Diceros bicornis minor: one gene and its partners. The protein of the gene in region 1 interacts with the protein of each later gene in a biochemical or structural test. Links are inferred from orthologs where the notes say so. Each region holds a gene or a part of one and is shown on either strand. Other genes may lie near its edges.

Region 1 (7,617 bases):
CAAAGAGCTGCTCCGATTGTTCCAGGAAGTCCTCTTTGATGGGAAATCCTACACAGAAGGGGCCACAAGCTATTCCCAGGGCGCAGGCTCCACAGCCACCAACGATCTGACTGGCTCCCTGAGGCCAAACCCACCTCCCTCACCCCTGTCGACCCCAGGGCACTACCTAGGGAGCTCCCTACCACCAGCACCTACCTTTCTGCAGGTACATTCTGGCAGCCAACTGGAATGCCCTAGGGCCCAGGTCCCTGCTGAGGCGGCTCAGCAGGTGGGGGAGGCAGGGCCCTGAGTCTGTATGTAGCACCTGCAGCAATCTCTGCAGCGTTTGGTTCTGAGCACCTGGAAGGGACCACATTGGCTGTGGCCAGGCTGGGGTTCTTTCCCACCCCCACTGCCCACTCCAGTCCCTCTTGAATACCCACAGTGAGCATGCCCGCAGGACCACACACTCTCCTCCCATATCCACTGAACTGGTCTGAGCGACAGGACTCCCAAGTCCTACTTTCACCTCTGCTGCTGACCGTCTGGGCGGCCTCACCTCACGGAAATTGTCTTCTCTCTCTGGACCTCAGTTTCATACAATGAGACCCTCCAGTCCAATGGAGACATTGTAGCTATCAAACTCTCGCATAAAAATCACCAGGAACATATCCCTGGGCCCAATCCCTCAGAATCTGATTCACAGGGACTGGAGGTGAGCCCAGGAATCTGCATTTTTACCAAACATCCAAGTGACCCTGATGGAGGAACCACCCACTAGTAAACTCTGGAGGGTGTAGTAGTGAGTTCCTACTGGCCTCCCAGCTCTGCTGATCTGGACACATGCTGCCACAGTACCCAGTGTCAGGTGAGACAGTGCCAGGGCCACACTCAGAGGCGACAGGATGAGGTTGGGGCTGGTGGACCTTTGGGCAACGAGGGAGAATAGGTCTGTGGTGAAAGCCATCATGGCCTGGGCCAGCCTGCGGGTCTGCTCTGGGGTGGGGGCCGCCTTGCAGTCTCCTGGGGCCTTCTTCAGGGCAACCTGGCCACCAGCCTCCTGCAGAGACAGATCAGGGGTCAGTGGGGCCAAGGGGTCAGCTCCAGGTTCTGTGTTGAAGATTTCCTTCGTAGCCCCTGTGCCTGGGGGCAGCAGGGCCTGGTCCCAGTCCTGACAGGAGAGGGAGAGTCTCATGGGCAAGGGCATTCTGGGGACTGGATCCCTTCCTCTGGTCCCTCCCACCCTCCCCTTCGGACCTCAGCCTCACGGCCACGCCCCCTGTTCCCTCGCCCCTGCTGATTGGCCCTCCTCCCTCGGGCCCCGCCCACTCTTCCCCAGCCCCACCTGGTTGTACCTGGTTGCGCAACTTGAGGAAGATTATCGGGGAGAGCTTCTCCTGCGACATCCCGCTGATTAGCTGAAGAAAGGAGGAAGCAGATGGAGAGCGACCCTTCCCAGAGGTCCCCCACCCTGCACAAGCCACAGGCGAGGCCCCTCGGGGCCTTCCTCCCAGGCACACGCCCCTCACTCCCCAGTACCTGCTGGCCCAGGGGCTCCATGGCGCTCACAGGAAAGAACTGTTGAGAGAGGGATGAGGAGAAGAGGGGGACCCCCTCAGAGCTAAATCTTCCCTCGGACGACCCCCCACCCTGCGCCCTTCAGACCGCTGGCCTCTCCCCACCCCTCCCCGCCCCACCCAGACCTCAGCCAGGCTCACCGCAGAGCAGGGGCCTTGCAGGCAGGACAAGCAGAGCACCAGGAGTCCCCGGAGCAGCGCCATGTTCCTGTTGTGGACCGGAAGCCTCCGTTCCCACCTCGCCCCCACACCCGCGTGGAATCCCACCCACGCGTTCCCGGGCAGGCTGAGTCCTGAGCCGCTACCGCCGCGGGGAAAACACCAGCTACAGCACACCGCCCTAAAACACCATAGCAAAGCTTCTCATCTCTGAGGGGCAGATGTCCCTCCGACTTGTTTTTTAACCCCCTTTGTTTTCCTGGTTTTTCACATTTCATGCCCTGAGAATATTTTGGTTCATAGGGGAAAAATATTATCAAAACAAAAAATGTCCTCATTCTTCAAGGCCTGGCATTGTGAGTCAGACCTGGGTTTGAATCCAGGCTCTGCCTCTTGCCAGAGGACCTTGACATCTCCCTTAACACCTCTGGGCTTCGCTGTGTCTTGTAAAATGGTGGCAAAAGTCCTTACCTCCTCCCACGTGTATTGTGAGGACTGAAATAAGACAGTCTTGGTGAGCCCTGAGCACAACGCTTGACGCTCAGTAACAGCTCTCGTCAGCCTAGCGCAAGGTCCCTCTTCTGGGAAGCCGGCCCTGAAGCCTCCTCTGTACTAGGGCTCCCTCCCCAGAGCTCCTATCCAACCTGCTGTCCAGCCGGCCCACCTTTTCTGGCTGGTCTGGTCTTGCCCACAAGGGTAGACAGGACTATGAGGCCCAGAGGTCTCAGCAGGGTGGTGGTGGGTGCTGGAAAGCCGCCTCATTGACCAGCAGCACAGCCCAATGAATGACTCTGGCCAGAACCACCTTTGGACTTACGGGAAATGCAGGCCTTGCCCCAACTCTGCCCCAGGCCGGCTCCGGGAAGCCAGGCTGGCGGGTGGAGATGGGCAGGTCTTGGTCTGGCCTTGGAGCAGGTCTCACACACACCCCCACCCCGCCCCCATCTCAGGGCTAGTCCCTCAGGAGGATCCTTATATCACCCCTGGCCCCACTCCCATCACACAGGCAAAGGGCCCTGATCTCCAACCTGGGCTTTTGAATCTTCTTGGCAAGAAAAGGCCTCCAGTTTTTCAAGTCCCAGAGAGACTCTCCCCCAGATCCCCTACTTTGGCTCCTCATCACCTCAGGAAACTGGGAATCAGCAGGCCTCCTGAATAAATTCAGCCCCCATACCCTCAGCCAGGAGGGCAGCTCCTACCTCCTCTCCTGCTCAAGGAACAGACCGCCCGCCCCTCCCCTCATACCTCTGCAGGCTCCTCGCTGCTGCACACAATGTCCCTCTGGCCCCACTTGGGTGCTCCCCTCTCTCTGCCCGGGCTCCAGCCAGCCCAGTGGAGCCCTCCCCTCCCACCGGGACCTTTGCTCTCAGCCAACCCCTGTTCAGATTGCTTTCTCTTCTGGTAAATATTGACCTGCACATCCGGTTAAACATTGATATTGGGGCTGGAAGCCCCTTTCCCAGCAGGGCATCTAATCCTGAGACAGCCACCTGGAGCCCCCATGGATCTGGGTCCCACCTGAGCCTGGAGAAAGGAGGTTCAGGAGACAGTTGAGGAGGCTGTCCTCATCTGGAGGACAGATCCAGAAAGGACAGGGGCCTTCCAGCAACCCCACAAGGTGGGGAGTTATCCCTTTAGTCAGGCTCAGAGATGCTATGTGACCTGCCCAAGGATACAGAGCTGGGCTCAGAATTACATCCAGGTTCCCATTTCCAATGTCCTTTCCTTTTCCCTACAACTGCCACCCCATCCCTAGGAGAGGGAAGGGGAAGCTGCAAAACCTTTGCTGGGAACCCAGGATAGGATGCCCATCCCAACCATTACATGCCCAGGATCCTGGCTGGCTGCCTTCAGCCTGGGTCTGGAAGGCAAGGGGTGGGAGAGGAGAGATGCTGAGGGACACAGCCTCTCTCAGCATCCTCCTTACTGGAAACTGGTCTGGGGCTGCATGAACCAGAAGCCCTGTACCCTGAAGAGCAATGATCAGGTGGCCTCCCCACCTCCTGCCCTACTCCTCACTGCCCTGGAAGCTGTGGGGGTCTCGACTTTTCCCCACTCTGACACCATTGTCAAAAAAAAAGCCTCACTCAGTTCCACGGCTCCTTCAAAGAATTTATTGGTCATATTTACATCTATTGCAAATAGTGAGGAGGCAGCATGAGCCCAGCCTCAGAGCTCATCTCTGCTCCAGAATGTGAGGACCCGAGACACCTGGGTCTTCCTGTCCCCTGGGCGAGATGCAGAGATAATTCTTCTCGCCCCTTCTCTCAGGGTCTTAGAACTCCACCCTCCAGGGGTTCTGGGCCCAGGAGCTACCTCCTCAGCTCAAGGCACAAACACTGTAGTTAGGGGAGGGCAGGCACCAGCTGGCCCAGTCCATCTTCCCTCCCCTGGTCCCGCCCTCTTTCTTCCCCTACTGGTCCCATACTGGCCAGGGTCTGACTGGGTGGACACTTAAACCCCAGCCCCAGGCCCTTAACTCCTAGACCACGGCCAGCCCTCCTTAGAGGCTGGAGTCCAAGCACCATCAGTGTCCTGGACTGGGGCAGCATCCCTGTCTTTGTGGGAGAGGGGCAGAGAGAGTCCAGCAAGGGGGGGCTTTGGCTGAAGACTGGCTGGGCAGGGCCAGTCTCCCTAACCCTTCCCAGAGCTTCCCTGTCCCCATGTGGACCCGAGGACAGAGTGGGGAGAACACAGGGCAGCGATGCTTTCCCACGCTCTCCCTCTTCTTCCTACTGGCTTGGAGCAGCATCTCCCCAAGCCATGAAGGAGATCCTCTGGCAGCCTTGGGGGCTCTAGGAGTTCAAGAGCCTGGACCCTTGTCCAGCCCTAGCTTGCAGGCCATGTGGGTACACAGGGCATGGGGTCTGAGGCTTGCCTGGAGGGAGCTGCTGGGCAAACAAGGCTGATGGGATGGACTCCTAGAGGATGTCTGCCCACCCCTGCCTGACGAGCCCCACCCTCAGCCTATGCCAGGAGGCGGATGACCCCATTGTCTGAGCCCAGCAGGAGGTGGCGTTTGGTGGGCAGCAAGGCCAGGCTGGTGAGCGTGCCCCGGAAGTTCTCAGAGCTGAGCTTCGTGGTGGCCTGGGAGGGCGGCTCAAGCAGGGAGCAGACGCCGATCTTGTTGGCCACGGTGCCGGTGATCACCTCGCTGCCATACAGATCAAAGGTATGGATAGGGTCGGAGGCTGACTTGTAGTGGTGTGTGGGCTTCTGCTCCAGCTCCTTCCAGACAGTCAAGGAATGGTCGGATGAAGAGCTGACCAGGATGCTGCCCTCCACCGCCTGCCCGGGGAGAGCAGAACCTCAGCAGGGCCTGTGCCCTCCCATGTGCCCACCAAACCCCAGTGTCTTCCCATTTCTTCCCACAATATCTCCCAGGAAGACAGGGCATCCTGAGCGGAGGACAGGCTGCCACCTTCCCACGTTACATTAACGTGAGTTAATATGACTATATCAGTGTCGTTAACCTAGTTATCACTGTAATCTGAGCACTGACTATGTCCAGACATGGCATTACGCATGCCCTATTACCACATTTCATCTTCATAATGACTCTATGAGGCAGATGCTGTCATTGTTCTCATTTTACGGAGAAAAAAACTAAGGCTCAGAAAAGTTAAGTAATCATACCAAGGTCACAGAGCCAGTAAGTGGCTGAGCCAGGATTAACACCCAGGCTGACCCCAGAGCCCTCTTGATGCTTTCTTGGAAAGTCAGCATTTAGGGACAGTTGGAGCCCAGGGTCCCCTGGGGGGCCCTGGAGGGAGCCAGGGGCAGCTTGCCCCCAGCAGTGGCAGTGCACATCCCCTGGCCTCAACTTAGGATGAGGAGGGAGTCCCAGTTGCCTGGAAAAACCCTCCCACAAGTAGCCCTGTTCCTATCCTCCTGTACCTCCCTGAGCAGTTCCCTGAGGTCCGTAATTGAGAAGGGGGCAGGGGTGGGGGCAGGAGCCCCACGCCCAGTCTGCCCCTGCCCCCACCAGGACAGCCCAGCAGTGGGCATGGACTCTGCTCAGTGGTCTAGGGGCAGTAAACAGCCTCCCAGCTGAGCTTTATTTAACCTGAACTGGGTCACGGACAGGGCCCGACCCCTGATCCTCCAAGCAAGACAAATATGGACAAGGGTTACTCATTAGAACATCTCCAGGGAACAGCAGGGTCAGCTCGGCCCCCTGGGTCCCGCCCCTGTGCCTGCCTCCTGCTGAGGCCCCCCACAGTGCAGCGGGCTCTTGACTCTCCCTGCCCGTCAGTCCTTGGGCAGGTGTAAGTGACATCAGCTTGAGCCTGTCCTGGTGGACCCTAAGCAGAGATTAGAAGGGAACGGGACCTGGTCTGTTACCTTGATCTGTAAGATGTCCCCCTCGTGGGCAGGCCAGCCACGCAGAACAAGGCCCGTACGGGTGTCCAGGAGCACCATGAAGCCCGAGGAGAAGCCGGCCACAACGCTACGGCCACTGGGGCTAACAGCCAGGGAGCGGACAAGCCCAGGGTTCAGCCCGCCACCCAGGCGGAACTCATGCTACAGGCAGAGGGAGACAAGATGAGGCACCACCACCCACTCCAACCTGCTTCTCCCTAAGGTCCTGCTCACCCCGCAAGCCCACACAGCTTGACAGCCTGAGCCTCTGTCCCCACATCACAGGCCAGAGTCCCACACCCCCAGATTTGCTGCTGTGGGTGATCCGTCTGCAAAGAGAAACTATGCCCTGGCCTTCAGGGTCTCTCCTCCCTGCCAGGCACCCTGACTAGGGCTCAGGGAACCGACGCCCCTGACCTGCAGGCCAGGCTTCCTGCAGTCCACAAAGCGCAGGGTCGAGTCAGAGCCGGCCATGGTGATGCTGGTGTGGGGGGCAGGCATGACAGCCACGGCAGTCAGGGGCACCCGGCTGTCTGATGGCTCCACTGTGCGAATGGTCTTCCCTGGGAAGGAATGACACGGTGTGTCTGAGGTCCTAGCAGCTGATGGAAGAGCCCTGACTCCTCCTATCCCTCCAACCTACCCCATACCTGCCTCCCATATCCCAGAGGAGCTCAGAAAATGCCAAAGATGTTTCTTGACCCTCCCACCTTCCTGTTTCCATGGCCAGGCCAAGCTCCCATCCCCAAAGCAACCTCCTCTCTTCACATAGCATCCCCTGACCAAAGCTGCCTCCCTGTCTATCTCAATGCTACTCCATGCCCTCCCCGCTTTTAACCTTGTTTCTCCCTACAATGACACGGAAAAATAATTGAGCAACTATTTACCAAACATGTACTACATGCTACACATTAAGCCAAACCTCTATGTGCATTATCTTCTTTTTTTTTTTTTGTGAGGAAGATCAGCCCTGAGCTAACATCTATGCCAATCTTCATCTTTTTGCTGAGGAAGATTAGCCCTGAGCTAACATCCGTGCCGATCTTCCTCCACTTTATGTGGGACGCCACCACAGCATGGCCTGACAAGCAGTGCGTCGGTGCACGCCCAGGATCCGAACCCGGGCTGCCAGCAGCGGAGCTCACACACTTAACTGCTACGCCATGGGGCCGGCCCTATGTGCATTATCTTCTAAATCAGTTGTTCTGATTCCCATTTTACAGATGGGAAAACTGATGCTTCTGGCAGCAAAGTGACTTGCTCAACATCACACAGCAAGTAAACTAGCAGAGACAATTCAAACTCAGGTCTAATGGATTCCGAGTCCTAACAGCTCCTCTGTGTGGCTTCACTGGGTCACTCCCAACCACATACCATTACACCCCAACCATCCCACCCTTGGGCCCCATTCCCAGAGGCCTGGCAGAGTACAAGATGGCAGCAACAGAAACAGGCCTCACCTGGGCCAGCTCACCTGTGAAGGAGTCCCAGATGTGCACAGCCCCGTCACAGCTCACCACACACTGAGGGGCCTCAAGCT
Region 2 (7,976 bases), on another chromosome or scaffold:
CAACGCAGATGTCACTTGCTCCGGGAAGCGTGTCCTCGCTCCTCCACACTGAGTGTCCCTCCGTGTGCTCCACGGCCAACGGGGCCTCAGCCGCTCTAAGCACTCGCCACTCCGCGCTCCAGTCTTACTTACAGACCGGCATTGCCCCCACCCCCACTAGGTGGAAAACCCCCTGAGGGTGGGGATAAAGTCTTAGTTCCTCTTATCGGCCCAGGCCTCAGCACCGTGTTAAACACGCTGTACACCCTGGAACCACATCTCCTGGAGGAGAGCTCACAGCAATGACGATACCCCCGCGCCCCCGCCCCAAGCCTCGCGCTTCACTCGGGGACCTTCGGATCCCTCCGCTGGACTGTGGGGATGGTGGGCTGGATAGGAGAGGAGGGAGGGGTCACTACTTGGGGTCCTGTGGCGATGAGGCGCCTCTGTCCCGCTGGTGTTTTACCTGTGTGCAGAGATGGCAGGTCTCCCCCGAGCACCTGGGAGGCCGCAGCAGGCGCAGACGCCTGCAGCCTCTGGATTCCGCCAGCTGCTACTGCGCAGGCGGCGTCCATCAGGCCTTACTGACTGTCCGGCCTGGGGGAGGGGTGGAGGCGGAGGGGGGGGGCCTGAGTCAAAGCCTGAGTTCCACTCCCCGATTTAGAAGTTCTATAACTTTAGATTCTCCCTGGACAAGTTTCTGTACTTTGAAAGTTCTGTAAATATATTTAAATATATGCATAAACATATACGTTAAATATATACGTATATATCCAAATATAGACACACATATCCAAATATACACATACACACACATATATACATGTATATACAAATATATACGTATATAGACATATGTATTTTTACTTTTTATTTTGAAATAATTATAAACACACAAGAAGTTACAAAAATAGTACCGAGAAGTCCAGTGTACCCATCACCCAGCCACCCAGCCTCCCCCAAAGGGAACATCTGACATAACTGTAGTTCATTATCAATACCAGGAAGTTGCCATTGGTGCAGTAATGAGCTAGCCCACAGACGTTGCTCAGATTTCACCAGTTTTTACCTGTACTCATTATTTTTTTCTTAAAAGATTTTAGTGTTTTCTACATGTCTCTCCGAAATACTGTGAAAAAATTTTTTGTCTTAATTAACTTTGAGAGTAATGAATTTTCGAGATGGAAAGGATGATTTGGTTTCTCTGTTTTTCCGCAGTGAATCTGGACCTCGGAGCAGAAAGTACGCTTGCCTGGGTCTCTGGGGAGTCCTCGTGCTGCCTCAGGGCAGGCTGGTAAACTATCCAGGAATTACTACCTTCTCTGTTACTGTTTTTCTCGAGCATCTTACGAGTCTGACGAGGAAATATCCAATGAAGGCTCTTTTTTTTTTTCCAAAACTGAATAAACATCTCAATTTCCGCAAGCACAAGCCAGTGAAGAAAATACAGCTCGCTGACCACTGACTTAGGTCTCACCTGGAAAGTGCTCTGGGCGGGTTACATTTTAACCCCTGTGCTAACTGAGCAGCCTGCTATCTCCTCACGGGAGCTCGGGCCGATAACGGTCTCATTCCACAGCCCCAGAGACTGAGGAACAAAGGCTAACAGACCTGAGAAAAAGGTCAAATGAAGACATGAAAGGCACCTTCAGATTAATGAGAGCGTGTGTCCTGGGTGATACGCCCTGATAAACTAACAGAGTGAAAGCAATCTGTAAACTGACATCAAGGGCAAAGATAAACGTGCTAAGAACCCTTGCAACAATGAAGGCATACTTCGTTTGAACTCTTAATAGATTATTTTTTCCGCTGTTTTCCTTTTGAAATGACATGGTCTTATTGGGGATATTCAGAGATGCTCCTGGTAAAGAAATGAGCTGTCTTAGAATGACCGTTCCAGGGTGGCAGAGCCTGGGTGGGGAGGAGCTCTGCTGGGGCTGGAGGAAGGTGGAACGTCGGTGCAGAAAGGTGACAGATGTAAATGTCAGATCTGCAAGACAGGGTCCACGCGGTATGAAAGCATGTCACCTGGGAAATTGTGACCTGGCCACAGCTTCCACTTCAGGCAAGGTGGGTGCAGGCGAGACTGAAGGGGGCACTCTACCTCTCTCGCCTGGTGAGGTTGAACTTTCCTGGTGTTTGTGGCTTTCCTGGTAAAGTGCTTGCGAGGAATTCACCATTTTAATGCCTAGAGGGGAGGAACTAGCTAATTCTTCCCTTCCTAAAGGAACCTGAGTGGATCTTGGTTGCAGGCGCCCTGCTGGGCAGAGCTAAGAAATTCGATCCCTCTTCCATCATATTTTGACGTCCTTGTCTCTGGCTACAATGCAGCAGAAGCCTCCAGTAATCTTAGATAAAAAATTTCCTGGAGTTCTTTTAGGTGGAGGCTGGGGGATGGAGGAGACTGTAATTTGTAACTTTTTAATTTTTATTTATTTTACCTTTTATATAGTCCTAAATGAATCTAACACACAGTAGGTGGTCAGTAAATACTTAATGAATTGGACTCAATAAAGATGCACATCTCAGAATTTATTCAACCTGCTAATAGTAGGCAAAGATGATCTCTCTTTATCTCCTTCCTGAGTTTCTGCCGTTCTTTGAAGTAGAAAAAGACTTATTTTGAATGAATTGTCTTTACAGCCTTGAGCAAAACCACTATCCGATGTCCCTCTAAGAGTGTTGTTGTGGGATTCCTATGCGTGATCTAGAATAGTCCATTGCTTTATGCCTACCCTGTACCTATGAAGCTAAACCATGTAGTGCTGTGACGCAATGGAAGTCTCTGTGCACCCCCCTGTCTGCATGTGAACAATACATTCCTCTTTGCTCTTCTCTTTACACACTACAGTATCTGGTGGCACAAGAGCAAAACCCTGCTTCGTGTTTATCTGTGCTCTCATGATGCTGATATATTATGAACGTGGTGAAGAATGTATAGTCAGAAGGCCAGAGGAGGGCAACCTGATTTAGAAAATAACATTGGTAGAATCAAAAGCATTCTAGAAGATTCCAGGAGAAAAGGGAGCAAAAGGCATACCACCACCACCCAAATAAGAAAAAAAATAAAACAGGAAAAAGAAAATTATGTGGTAATAGAATTTCTGATAATATTGTTCCTGAAATGCCTTATCTGCGAGGCAGTGCTAAACTATTTTAAATGGAAATAAATGCAGACTGGAAACATTATATATTAGTAGAGTCTGTTTTTTCCCCAAAGTACTTTCTCAAATACACCAACATAATCCCCCTAAGAGACATTTCAGATATTTTAAGAAAAAATGTCTGCCCAATGCTGATTTCTCAACTTGCCTGCACCTTGTGTCCCCTTTAATACACTCGGCCACTAGGTGAGAGGGAGAGGAGACAGGAAGACAGAGTTTGAGAGAAGAAAGCTAAGATCAAGTAGAAAATTAGGAAATATAATTAGGTCATCCCTGCCCCTCACAGTAGCACCAACTTCTTGTTCTCCAGCACGTTTTGTTCTTGAGAATTCTACACAGTACAGAACATTGCACCACATAAGGACGTTTCGGTCAACGATGGACTGCATATATGATGGTGGTCCCATAAGATTAGTACCATAGAGCCTAGGTGTGTAACAGGCTGTATCATCTAGGTTGGTGTAAGTACTCTCTGTGATGTTCACACAATGACAAAATCGCCTAGGGATGCATTTCTCTGAACATATCCCCATCATTAAGTGACACATGACTGTCCTTCCATCCCAGGGAATTCTGCAGGAGGTACCACCGAAAACGATATGGTGCCCTCCTTTATACTTTGCTAGTTTATAGGAAGGAGTTCCATAGCTGGAGAGAGAAGAATTTCTCGTTCTTATTTCACATTTAGATAGAGTCAATTTAGCTATTCCTAAATATTTTTGAACACTGAAATAGCGGTTTTAAAGCATTTACTACCTGGTCATACTAGCCTTAAGCCAGGGAAATGTACAGACTCAACAATTAAGATCAAGACAGACTCTTTAAACTTAATTTTACCACTCTTGCTTTATTTCACGAGGATGACAATCTAATGCACTGTGAATTCATTTGGGGAAAAGATCGATAATTTTGTAATGTAATTTATAATCACAGAAAACACGTGAGTCCACCAGGCATAAAGAAATTTTGATAATAATAAAATATTTTCACTTATGTTGTAATTTCTACACTAGTAGGATGTGGGGATGTTAACAACAATGCCTTAGCTTATATGTGTTATTTCACCCCTTGTTAGCTAAGTAACCTTGGAAAGATAAACTTGCTTAGCTTGAGTCGCCTCATCTAAAATGGGGACGATAATAATATTGCTTGTTTTAAAGGTTGGATGTAACTATGCCTATGCACCACTTAGCAGAGTGTCTGGCAAAGGAAAGTTCTCAGCAAATGAGAGCTATTGTGATTTTTTTTTTTACCCAAAAGAAAGAGAATGAGAGGCCAGCCCCATGGCATAGTGGTTAAGTTCAGCGGGTTCTGCTTTGGCAGCCCAGGTTCACTGGTTCAGATCCTGGGCACAGACATATGCCACTCATCAGCCACGATGTGGCAGCGAACCACATACAAAGTAGAGAAAATTGGCACAGATGTTAGCTCAGGGCTAATCTTCCTCAAGCAAAAAAAACGAGGAAGATTGGCAACAGATGTTAGCTCAAGGCTAATCATCCTAAGCAAAAAAAAAAAAAAAAAGAGAATGAAAGAAGAGAGAAGAAAACAAGACTAAGAATGATGATGGACTGGGAGTAAGGTGAGGACTAAAGAGAGAAGAAGGCAGCACGGGGCCGCCGAGGGGGCAGGGCCCGCTTTCACCACTTCCCAGCATCTATTGCAAATTCTGCTCTCAAACATTTTGTAAGATCCTCCAGTCAAGGTAATGTTTGAACCCTCAGTGCTCAGTGGCAATAGGCTTCTAAGAGAATAATTAACTATATGTGATTATCTTGTTTGTGGATGCATTTCCTTTCATGTAAGTCAATAACATCTTGGGACTGGGACACGCTGTTTTCTGGACACCGCTGGCCAGTTCCAAAATGGACCATAAGGAAGTGGTTCTTCTACTGCTTTTATTTCTGAAATCAGGTAAGACTTCAAGTTGTTTTTTTTTTTTAATCAGTATTTTTTTCCTAGCAACGTATAAAAATAGAGACATGATGGCTTTATGGGCAACTAGTTTAATTTAACTTTTGATTCATGAGATTCCCAGTTTGAAATCTAAATATAAGATTGAGGAATTCAAGAAATAAATTTAGTTTCCCTGTGAACACTGGAGATGAATGGGCCGAGAAAATAATGAATGGCTTTTTAAATCAAAAAGATGAAGCCCAAGGGTTGGTTATTTTAGTTGAAAAAATAGCTCATATAGTTAACAATCCGAAAAGTGGTTAGTCTCTTTACCTGGTTCTCAGTTGGATTAATTTAGATCATTTTTGTTAAGGTGTCATATGCTCCTCACGTTCAGATGCAAACAATGAAATCTCTCCTTGACTACATTCTCTGACTGGTCTGGAGTTGTATTCACCAGTTCCCTGTGGGCTCTGGCTTAAGTAAGACCTTCCATACATATAGGTTTGCTTTGTATGCCTGGAGAAACCACAGGCATCGATTGGCCAAGTGATGTATGCAAAAATAATTCAACAAATATTCACTTCGTGCTTTAGGTAGGCCAGGCAAATTTTTAAAAGTACATACACACATGTGTGTGTCTTTTAATAACCCAAGTTCATTTAGCCAGTGCAACAGGTAGGGTAGAACATCCCTATTTTATAGACAAGGAAATCCATACTTACGAAAATCGTGTTGTTTTCCTATTGACCAAACTCCCAAATCCAGGAAGTGAAGAAACCAGGATTTAAACCAGGGTTTTCCAAGAAGGAATCTGGTGCTCTTCTCTTTTTTTGAACTTTGTTTAAACCTTCTTTAAAATATTCTAAGCATGTCCTTATAGTTCTTTTTTTTGACCGCTTTATTGACATATAATTTATATACAATGCAGTTCACCCATTTACAGCACACAATTCAGTGGTTTTCAGTATATTCAGTTATGCAACCATCACCACAATACATTTTAGAACATTTTCATTACCCTAAAAAGAAACTCCACACCCCTTAGCTGTCACCTCCAGCTCCCACTCACTCCCCCATCCCTGCCCAGCCCCTGGCAATCACTAATCTACATTCCATCTCTGATTTGCCTATTTTGAACATTTCATATAAATGGAATCATGCATTATGCTAGTAGTTCTTCATATAAACAATGTATAGATACTTGCAATTCAATTTATAAATTGCCAGATAAAATTTTACAGTTGTACTTTAAATTGGAGTCAAATACATTTGAATTTAGTGGAGCCATTCAAAGAAATATCAAAGAAAACACAGAGCAGAAGATTGTACCAAGAGATTTCTGTGGGAATGGTTGTGTATGGGGGTGCAAGGATGCATAATTCTGTTTTAGCCTGTGGAGAACAGGACCCGGAACACTATGAGCTGATTCAGTGGGTCACACCTGAGAGTTAGAACAGATTTCTCTGCAACAAGATTAACATATGTCTTCACCAACCTATGGGGGAAAAAAGTCTTTCATAAGCTTTTTGAAGGGAAGGCATTTACTCTTTCTTTCCATGGAAATAGTTCTTGTTTCCAGTGCACTGAAATGACCAGGGAAAGGAAAAACATCCTTTTAGAGCTGTTCTCAGTGGGAAATGGATAAGCAGTTTGCATTTCACCAACAATTGAGTCTTTTCTTTCAAACACACAGGCTTGCATACATATACACACACCACAGTGTTAAAAAAAAAAAAAAAACTCATTATTAATAAAATACACTTGCTTTGGTATATATATCTCTACATTTGGCCTAGAATATAAAAATACTTTTCTTACTAAAAAGATTTGTTTAATATTTCTTGGTCAACAAATAAACTGTATTATACCCCGTTGCCATATCAGCCCTGGAGTTGAATAAAAGAAATTTGGGGGGAAATTTTTTCAAAAGAAAAAGAAAAAATTATTCTCTCTTGGGATATTTCTTTGGGCTATCTGCTCCAAAGGTGGGTCTCAGCAGCTATATGCTATGAAACATAACAACATAACATCATTAAAGGTAACTTAATTAAAGGGTGATATAAATGGAAATTTTCTTATTTTCATACCATTGATACCCCAGCTTGCTCCACTTTCTAAGAACTCTTCAAAAAGTTTAATTTAACTCTTTATGGGATATACTTTATAGAGTTTTTGTGTTTGTTTTTTAAATCATATCCTGATCCATAGAATTTCCCAAAGCCCAACTCTTCTTGGAAATGAGAGCTCAAATTGGGAGAAAATGCGGAATGAAGACATGGTTATGGGTCTGACATATTGATTTCTCCGTAATCTTTGGATACATTTATCAAGTGCTTTGGGTGTATTCAATCTCAATCGCATCAGCCAACTTCTGTTCAATATCCACTCTTCCACTTTGGAGTATCTTAAATTGAGGAAGAATGAGGGAGTCAAGTTAGGGAGAGGGTGGACTCAGGAAGATGGCTTTGTCCTAATCTGCTAGAGGACCTCTAGCAGCATATATGTTTTCAGGTGGTCAAGGATGGCCTTTCTGAGAAGGAGGATCTGACCCTTCATGATCCTTCCCACTGGATAATTTTCATCAGTATCCAAACATGCTCTAGAATGTCTCATCTGTGAAAAAAAAATTGTGTGACCACATATGCCTTCCTGAAAATGCTCCTTTCACAACCAGACTTTTAAAAAGACTTATCTCTTCATGCTGTTCCCACTGCCTCTCCTAGTCACTCTTCAACCTGCTCAGTCTGGCTTTGGTCTCCACCACTCCCCTCAAAGTTCATTAGGCCATGTTGCCTAATCCTATTTAGACCAACTTTAGGAAACTTTACTGTCTTCATTTTGTTAACCTCTTTTGGCCTCCCATCCTGGGAAAATCACTAGTGTTCCCTACCCAAAGGATGGAGGTCAACATCCCCAGCCTTCAAATAGAGCTGC
Region 3 (7,125 bases), on another chromosome or scaffold:
GGCTGTGCCCTTTCCAGACGGCGGTGAAACCGAGGCTCAGAGACAGTGAGCGAGTTGCCCAAAGTCACAGAGCTGGGCGTCAAACTCAGGCTCCCGGGCCCGGCTTCACACCTCTCTGCGCCCCCACTCCCTTGTCTGTGAGGCGGGGGCTCCAAGAGGACCCCCCTCGAGGGCTGGAGGAGTGAGGTCCCCCCAAGACTCAGAACATTCCCGTACCTCGTGAGCACTCAACGAACACCGCCACAGTGCTTTGTCATCACCACCGGCGACACTCGTGTGATCCCATGAAAGTGGGTTTTATGGGGGGGAATCCAGAAATGGTAACCCGAATCCTTTCGTGGAAGGAGGTGGGGAAGGGACTTCTCACGTCAATGCCCCACATTTGCCGCCACCTGGTGGCAGCATACCCCAGAGGTGCCCTGACGACTTTCCACACCCGCTGGCACAACCGACACACAGCCAGACACGTTCTACAAAAGGGAGAGGGTTTTTATTGGGCGAGGTGCCCGGGGACGCGGCGTGGGAAGGGCCTGGCTGGGGCAGGCGAGGCAGGGGCACCCGGGCCGCCCTTCCTAGCGGGCCCCGCTCAGAGGGTCCCCGTGGCGGCGGAGGATGGAGTTGATCCAGCTGGCGAACTGCGCGACGGGGGCGAAGGCGTCGGGGTAGAAGCCAGAGCCGCAGCCTCCGCGGATGAAGGAGTCGATGCCCTGGACCAGCCCGTCGCAGACCAGCGGCCCGCCAGAGTCGCCCTGCGGAGCCCGACAGACGGGGTGGGAGGCTGCGCTGCCCGGGCCCCGCCCCGCTCGGGGTCGGGCAGTCCCTCCCGGGGTCCGGCCGCTGGCCGGGTTGCTGGGGCCGGGCGGGGCTCGGGGTGGGGGACGCGGGGGGCACTCACGAAGCAGATGCCGGCCCGGCGCCGCGGCACCAGCGTGCACACGTTGGAGCGTTGGCACAGGGAGGTCACCACCGTCACGTTGAGCTGCTGCAGGATGCTGGGCAGCCGCCCATTGGTGCCCAGCCGGCCCCAGCCCATGGCCAGGCACTGCGTCCCGTTCCTGGGGCTGCGCCCCTGGGCGGGCAGCTGGGCCACCTGCACGTTGGCATTGATGGTGGCCAACCCGTCGAGCTGGGACAGAGCACGTGAGTGTCACACGGGGCGCGGGCGACGGCCCTCCCCTCCCCGGCCTCAGTTTCCCTGTCTGTAATTGGCAGCAACCACAGTGGCCCGGGGCGCCCCGGACATGACTTGAGTGCTGTAAACAGGAGGTGCTTAATAATGGTGCTATAAACAGTAGGTGCTCAATAAAACAAACCATGGGCAACACTGAGGCCAATAAAACCCTCGTTCTAGAACATTCTCAGAGAAGAATCAGAAGAGTGGGATGGGAGGGTTTCTGCCTTGAGTCTCCCGCTGGCCCGAATGTGGGACTTGTGACAGGGCACGAATAACGGCGTTTGTTGATTGACTATTGCTCAGAGCTCCCGATGTCGTCTCTCACAATCTCTCCGAGGCCCGGCCAGGCGGGGTTTGTCTCCCCGAGTCACAGAGGGGAGACCGAGGCACAGAGAGACGACGTGCCTGTGACAGCTGGGGTCCCCCTGTCCACCCCCCGGCCCCTGGCCCCCACCTGGAGAACCACGATGTCGTTCTGCAGCGTCGTGGGGTCGAAGCCGTTCTCGAAGATCCTCCGGACGCCGAATGTCTGGCGGGTGCGCTCGCGCCGCCGCAGGTTGTGGGCCCCCAGCACCACCTGCACCGACCGGAAGTTGCTGCCGGCAACGGGGGGACAGGGGGTGACTCGGGCGGCCCCGGGGTCGGGGGTCAGCCCGCCCCTCGAGGAGCGAGGACAGACGGGGACACTGAGGGCCGGGGCGGATACGGGGGACTCACCGGCCATTCACGCAGTGCGCGGCCGACAGGACGAAGTCACGGGCGATCAGGGTGGCCCCGCAGAAGTGGCTTCCCCGCTGCAGGGACACCATGAAGGGCCACGCATGGGGCCGGGCCGGCTGGCCACCCACGATCTCCAAGGCCAGTGCAGGGCCTGGGGCACACGGGGGGGCAGGGCCGGTCAGCCACCCGGCTCACACCAGGACCCCAAGGGGTCCAGGCTCTTTGTGCTCACTGCCCAGATGGGGAAACTGAGGCACAGAGACGCAGAGAGGGGGCTGCCATGGTCCCCCAGCCGGGGTGCGGCTAGATTGGGGCTTAACGTGGCTTTGGAGTCCCCAGAGGGCGCCCAGGGACCCCCCGGTTCAAACCCCAGCTCTGGACTCCCACCACTCAGAACCTCAGTCTCTTCCTCTGGAAACATGTCACCTCATCCCAGCCGTCACCTCCCCACGAGGACGAGGGGCCCATGAGAGGCAGGAAGAGACGTCCAGGGACAGACAGACGGACACGCCGCCCCACTCACCGCCCAGCAGCACAGCCAGCAGGATGGGGGCGAGTACAGGGCTGGAGGGTGTGCGGCTGCCAGTCATGGTCGGGCGAGGCTCCGCGTCTCTGCCCCCCGTGCCCGCCGGCCCCTCTTATGGCCCCCACGCCGAGGCCGTTGCCGTTGCCCCACTTCCTGTCCCCCCCGGGGACGTGGAGACGAGGGGGTGACAGCAGGAAGCATGGGAGGAGGTGAGCCGGGGCCGGGGGTCCGGATCAATCTCGGACGCGCCATTCCGTCTGAACGTGGGATTCGCCGGTTTTAGTGCAAGTCCGTCCCAAATACCAGGCGGGGTACGCTTATCTGCAGGGTCAGTGCCCCAGGGACGTCGGCTGGGCCCCCCGCCTCGGTTTCCCCGGGGCACCCTCATAACCACAACGATGGCGTTCCACAGGGGTGGCGGGGGCTGCTGGGCCCTCTGAGATGGGGAAACGGAGGCATGGCGGGCCCATGAGTGGGTGACGCGGGGGCAGAGGGTTCTGAGCCCAGGCCCCACAGTTCACAGCTGGACGTGGCCCCTGCTCCCCACCACGGCCTCTCCCTCTCGGGGTCCGGCCGTCCAGCCTCTCTTTGGTTGCTGCTCGCGACGGGGAGCTCACTCCCCCCCGGGGGCCCGGTCAGTCTCGGGTCCCCAGCGGAGGTTCCGGGAAAGGACCCCTCCCAATCGGCTCCCCCCACCAGCCTCTCTGGACCCCTTCCCACCCGGGTCGGGGGGACGTGCTGGAGAAAGGATGTCTGGGCCTGGAGGCCGGACCGTGGGTCTCCGCCCACGTCTGGGAGCTTCTGCCTGGAAGAACTGGGTGTTGCAAGAAGCAACGTCCCCCCGGCTGGAAGCGAGGGTCACGGAAGGGAACCAACGGATCCTCTGCGGGAACAGGAGGGAGGGGCGCCGGGAGCCCGGCCCGGGCTGGAGTCCCCGCCTTGTGTGGCCACGGGCACGACCCCCCACATCTCTCCAGCGAGGACGACCGGGCACACGGCAGGCGCTCGGTGTCCCCTCCCCATCCCTCCCCTGGTCAGACACACATCGACCAGCCCTGCTAACCTCCCCACCCGGTCACGTTCAAGCTACCTTTGAGCACTTAGTCAGCACCTGCTGTATACACAGCCCTGTTTCTAGTTGGGAGGGTGGGGGAATGGAGGAGGCCCTGTCTTTGGGGGATGTGGTTTAGAAAGGACACCTTATGTAGCCAAAGCTGCATTTACTGAGCACCACCTGTATACCACGCTCCCCCGTGTCATGACTGTTAAGCGAGTCGACTCTGGGTTCATATCCTGGCTGGCCGATCGCTCCCTGCCTCCTTTCAGGCCCCTGACGTAACCCCCCACCCGTGCCTCGGTTTCCCACTGTGACAATCGGCTCCGTCTCAGGATTGTCTCGGGGATTCGGTGAACGGAGGTGAGTTAAGTCCTTAGATGATCCGGCGCCGCGCTGGGGCGTGTCAACCATTAACCCCCCAGGAGAGCGGGGGTCGGGGATTGCCTGGGGGACCCGGACCCCTGGAGAGTTCTGACTCGTGATCAGGGCTCTGGGGATGGGCCAGGGGGATGCTGAGCCCTTGGGGGCCCCTCGCTCCCTGAGCCTCCCCAGTCGTGTCCCCCGAAACGTCCTTTGATTCTTCCTGTGGGTTTGTCCTCCCCACGTGTCCGCAGCCCCCGCTGACCTCGGCAAGTCAACCGGGTGCCCCTGGGACCCCGATCCTCAACTCCCCCCGGGTCTGATCGTTGGGGCGCAGAACGTTCCTCTGACCACCGTTCACACACGTGAACCCACAGGAGACGCCCGGGGCTGGGTGTCTGGGTCTCTCTGTTCCCGTTGTCAGGCTCTCTTGACGTTCCCTCCCGCAGACCCCAACCCCGGGCACCGGGAGGTCCCTCTGGGCTCTTTACAGAAACCTCGTCCCGGCCCCGGGCCCCTGGGAGAGGTGAGGACTCTCAGCAGCCCCTGATCCTCATCAGCTACATTTCCCGGGATCGGCGGCCATGTCCCATGTCTGCTCCTGGCACTGCTGCTCCAAAGCAGGTGCAGCTCCTCCCCGGGGGTGGTCAGTCGAGGTGTGGACCAGTGGACAACGGGGCAGGTCTGGGAGGACTCGCCCTCGCTCCCATTTGTACGCTGCCACCAGGTGGCGGCAGAGTAAATCAATAAGGAATGAGCTGCCTTCCCACTCCAGTGTGCCCCCGGGAGCGGGTCGGCCCCTCTCTCTGAGCCTCGATTGCCTCATCCCTGTGGCCGCTCGCCCTCTCCATGGCTGACCAGTGACCTCTACCTCTTCTCTCTCCTCCAGGCCCACCCCAGTGCCTCTCCGTGGCCCCATGTGCTCTGGCCCCACCACCTCCCTGACCTGCTCTCCTCCCCTATCCCCTCGCCTCTCTCCATTCCAGCAACACCACACGCCGAGCTGTTCCTGACACCCCCCAGCTCGTCCAACACAGGGCCTTTGCACTCGCCATGCCCTGCCTGGCGGCCCTTCTCTTTGTGTTCTAGTCACACACTGACAGTCAGCTCAGGTGTTGCCTCCTCCTCCAGGAAGCCTCCCTCATGGCCCTTCAGCCTGCCCGTGACTGGACCAGGAGCCCCAGAGGCCTGGACACCCCATGTGACGATGGCCTGGTCCTCAAGTGGCCCCCAAGCTGGGAGACCAGAGCCACATGACACCCCCCAGCCCCAAGGGCCAGGCTGGGGCTCCCCCGACATTTTGGCACATGTCTGGGGTGACTCCATCTTCCAGATGAGGAAACCGAGGCGCAGAGGTGGGCAGCAACCTGCCCAGAGCCACACTGGCAGCTGGACTAGAACCCACGTCTGTGGGCGTCCCCACTGTGGCCTGGGCCCCCCACCTCCGGGCCTCCGCTCCACCCCCATCCTGAGCCTGGGGCTCGGGGACTCGGAGCCGGGGACCCTCGGCCGCTCCCCATGCCCTGCGGGAAGGACAGACGGAGGCGGACGGGGAGTTCCAACTTTTATTGAGGTCACTGGGGGGGCCTGGCTCCCGAGAGCCCCATGGGAGGGGGGGGGCGTCTGGAGGAAGCAGCGTTCTGGGGACCCCCCAGATGAGCCCCCCGTCAGGGCTCGGCGTCTGGCCTCAGCAGGCGGGCCGTGGAAGGGTACGGCTCGGGGGCCCCTTCACCCCCTACGCTGCTGAGCACGGAGCGGATCCAGTCCACGTAGAGCGAGACTCGGGCGAAGAAGTCGGGGTACCGGCTGGTGGCGCAGGCCTGGATCACGAAGGAGTCCACGGCCTGGAGGACGCCGTCGCAGATCAGCGGGCCGCCCGAGTCCCCCTGGGAAGGGCGGGGACCGGCCCGTCAGTCACAGGGACGCGGGCCCGGGGGCCGCCCTGCACCATTTAGGGGTAAAATGTCTCCAGCGTGGAATTTTCTTTAAGAGGCATGGGCAGGAGAGAGATGAGGCCACTCCGGAGGAGAGCGGGCATCTATTGGCCTCCTGCTGTATACCCAGACCCCGGGATTCTGGGTCCAGATTCCCGATGATTTCTGAGACGGACCCCTGGAGGCTGCCGGCTATGATGTTTGCGCCCCCTCTGCGCCTGCGGGAGCTGAGGCTGCTCCACGCACCTGAGCCCCTCGTTGGTGAGCCCGCCTCCCGGATGGAGAGACCAAGGCATGGCCGGCCGCTGCCCTGGGTGGGATTCGGATCCGCCCGCCTCCTTTGCCCTGCGCTCCAGGGCAGCCCCCTCCTCCGGGAAGTCCCCCCGGATGTCCCCCGAGGTGCTGGCCCGGGAGTGGGCGGTACGTACAAAGCAGATGCCGGCGCTCCGCCGGGGCACGAAGGTGCACACGTTCTGTGGCCGGCACAGGAAGGTGACCACGGTGACATTGAGCTCCTGCAGGACCCTGGGCAGTGGCTCCTGCGTGCCCAGGCGGCCCCAGCCCATGGCCAGGCACTGGGTGCCCTGGGGCAGCTCCTGGTTCTGCTCGGGCAGCGGGGCTACCGCCACCTGGGCATTGAGGGTGGCCGGGCGGTCCAGCTGGGGCAGAGGAGTGGCGGGGGGAGGTGAGACCCCGTCCCCAGGCCCCACAGCCACCCCCTCCCGCGTCCACTCTACAGTGCCTCTTCCAGGCCTCTGCCTGTGCTGTTCCCTCTGCCCGGCCCCCTCCCGCTCATCCTCAGGGCCACCTCCTCCGGGAAGCCTGCCCCGATTGACCCTCCAAACCGAGCCAGGGCTCGGTTCCTGGGCTAAGCCCTGGGGACCCCACCTCTGCCCTCGGGAGCCGCCCTTTCGGGTGGGAGGTCCCCGGAGCTGTCGTTCCAAGCAGGGCGAGCGGAGGCCTCCAGAGAGGGTGAGGCTGGGGTGAGGGTGTCGGGGCGGGGGCACCCCCAGGGCAGAGGCCGGGGTCAGGGGTGGTTTGAACGGCTCTCCCCTCACCAGGCCAACTGTATACCAGGCCGTGTCCCGGCACCCGCCTGGGGCCTGGTATACAGTAGGCGCTCAATAAGTGCTCGCTGGAGCACGAACGAGCCGGGCCCGGCGCCCACCTGCAGGAGCAGCACGTCATTCAGCTTCTCCTCCGGGTCGTAGTTGTTCTCGAACAGGCGGGCGATGCTGAACTTCTGCTGCGTGGACTCCTCGGTCTGCAGGTTGTGGGCCCCGAGCACCACGCTCACCAGGACGGGGTTCCTGAGGGGTGGCGGTGCTGACCACCGGTCCCCACGTCCCCCCGG

Evidence for each region.
Region 2: the proteins of SERPINF2 (region 1) and plasminogen-like form a complex in vitro, tested with the Homo sapiens proteins (2 studies listed by BioGRID, with this or other methods). The link is inferred for Diceros bicornis minor from reciprocal best matches to the Homo sapiens genes SERPINF2 and PLG.
Region 3: of the proteins of SERPINF2 (region 1) and ELANE, one has a biochemical effect on the other in vitro, tested with the Homo sapiens proteins (2 studies listed by BioGRID). The link is inferred for Diceros bicornis minor from reciprocal best matches to the Homo sapiens genes SERPINF2 and ELANE.

What each region holds. Positions count from the first base shown.
Region 1 is NC_080757.1:16,026,096-16,033,712, forward strand, and holds the start of SERPINF2 (alpha-2-antiplasmin), read right to left. Parts: upstream 3,008-7,617; 5' UTR 2,961-3,007; intron 1,765-2,960; 5' UTR 1,761-1,764; coding exon 1,698-1,760; intron 1,558-1,697; coding exon 1,519-1,557; intron 1,398-1,518; coding exon 1,335-1,397; intron 1,040-1,334; coding exon 838-1,039; intron 340-837; coding exon 196-339; intron 49-195; coding exon 1-48. Other genes in the region: WDR81 (WD repeat-containing protein 81), read right to left, coding at 4,683-5,003, 6,060-6,239, 6,495-6,640, 7,552-7,617.
Region 2 is NC_080778.1:9,496,006-9,503,981, forward strand, and holds the start of plasminogen-like, read left to right. Parts: upstream 1-4,917; 5' UTR 4,918-5,008; coding exon 5,009-5,057; intron 5,058-7,976. UniProt on the Homo sapiens protein: Plasmin dissolves the fibrin of blood clots and acts as a proteolytic factor in a variety of other processes including embryonic development, tissue remodeling, tumor invasion, and inflammation. In ovulation, weakens the walls of the Graafian follicle.
Region 3 is NW_026691553.1:442,029-449,153, reverse strand, and holds ELANE (neutrophil elastase), read right to left. Parts: upstream 2,494-7,125; 5' UTR 2,485-2,493; coding exon 2,418-2,484; intron 2,046-2,417; coding exon 1,892-2,045; intron 1,771-1,891; coding exon 1,629-1,770; intron 1,127-1,628; coding exon 896-1,126; intron 750-895; coding exon 573-749; downstream 1-572. Other genes in the region: myeloblastin-like, read right to left, coding at 2,533-2,856, 3,787-3,967, 5,280-5,360, 5,551-5,723, 6,200-6,430, 6,940-7,081. UniProt on the Homo sapiens protein: Serine protease that modifies the functions of natural killer cells, monocytes and granulocytes. Inhibits C5a-dependent neutrophil enzyme release and chemotaxis. Promotes cleavage of GSDMB, thereby inhibiting pyroptosis. Promotes blood coagulation.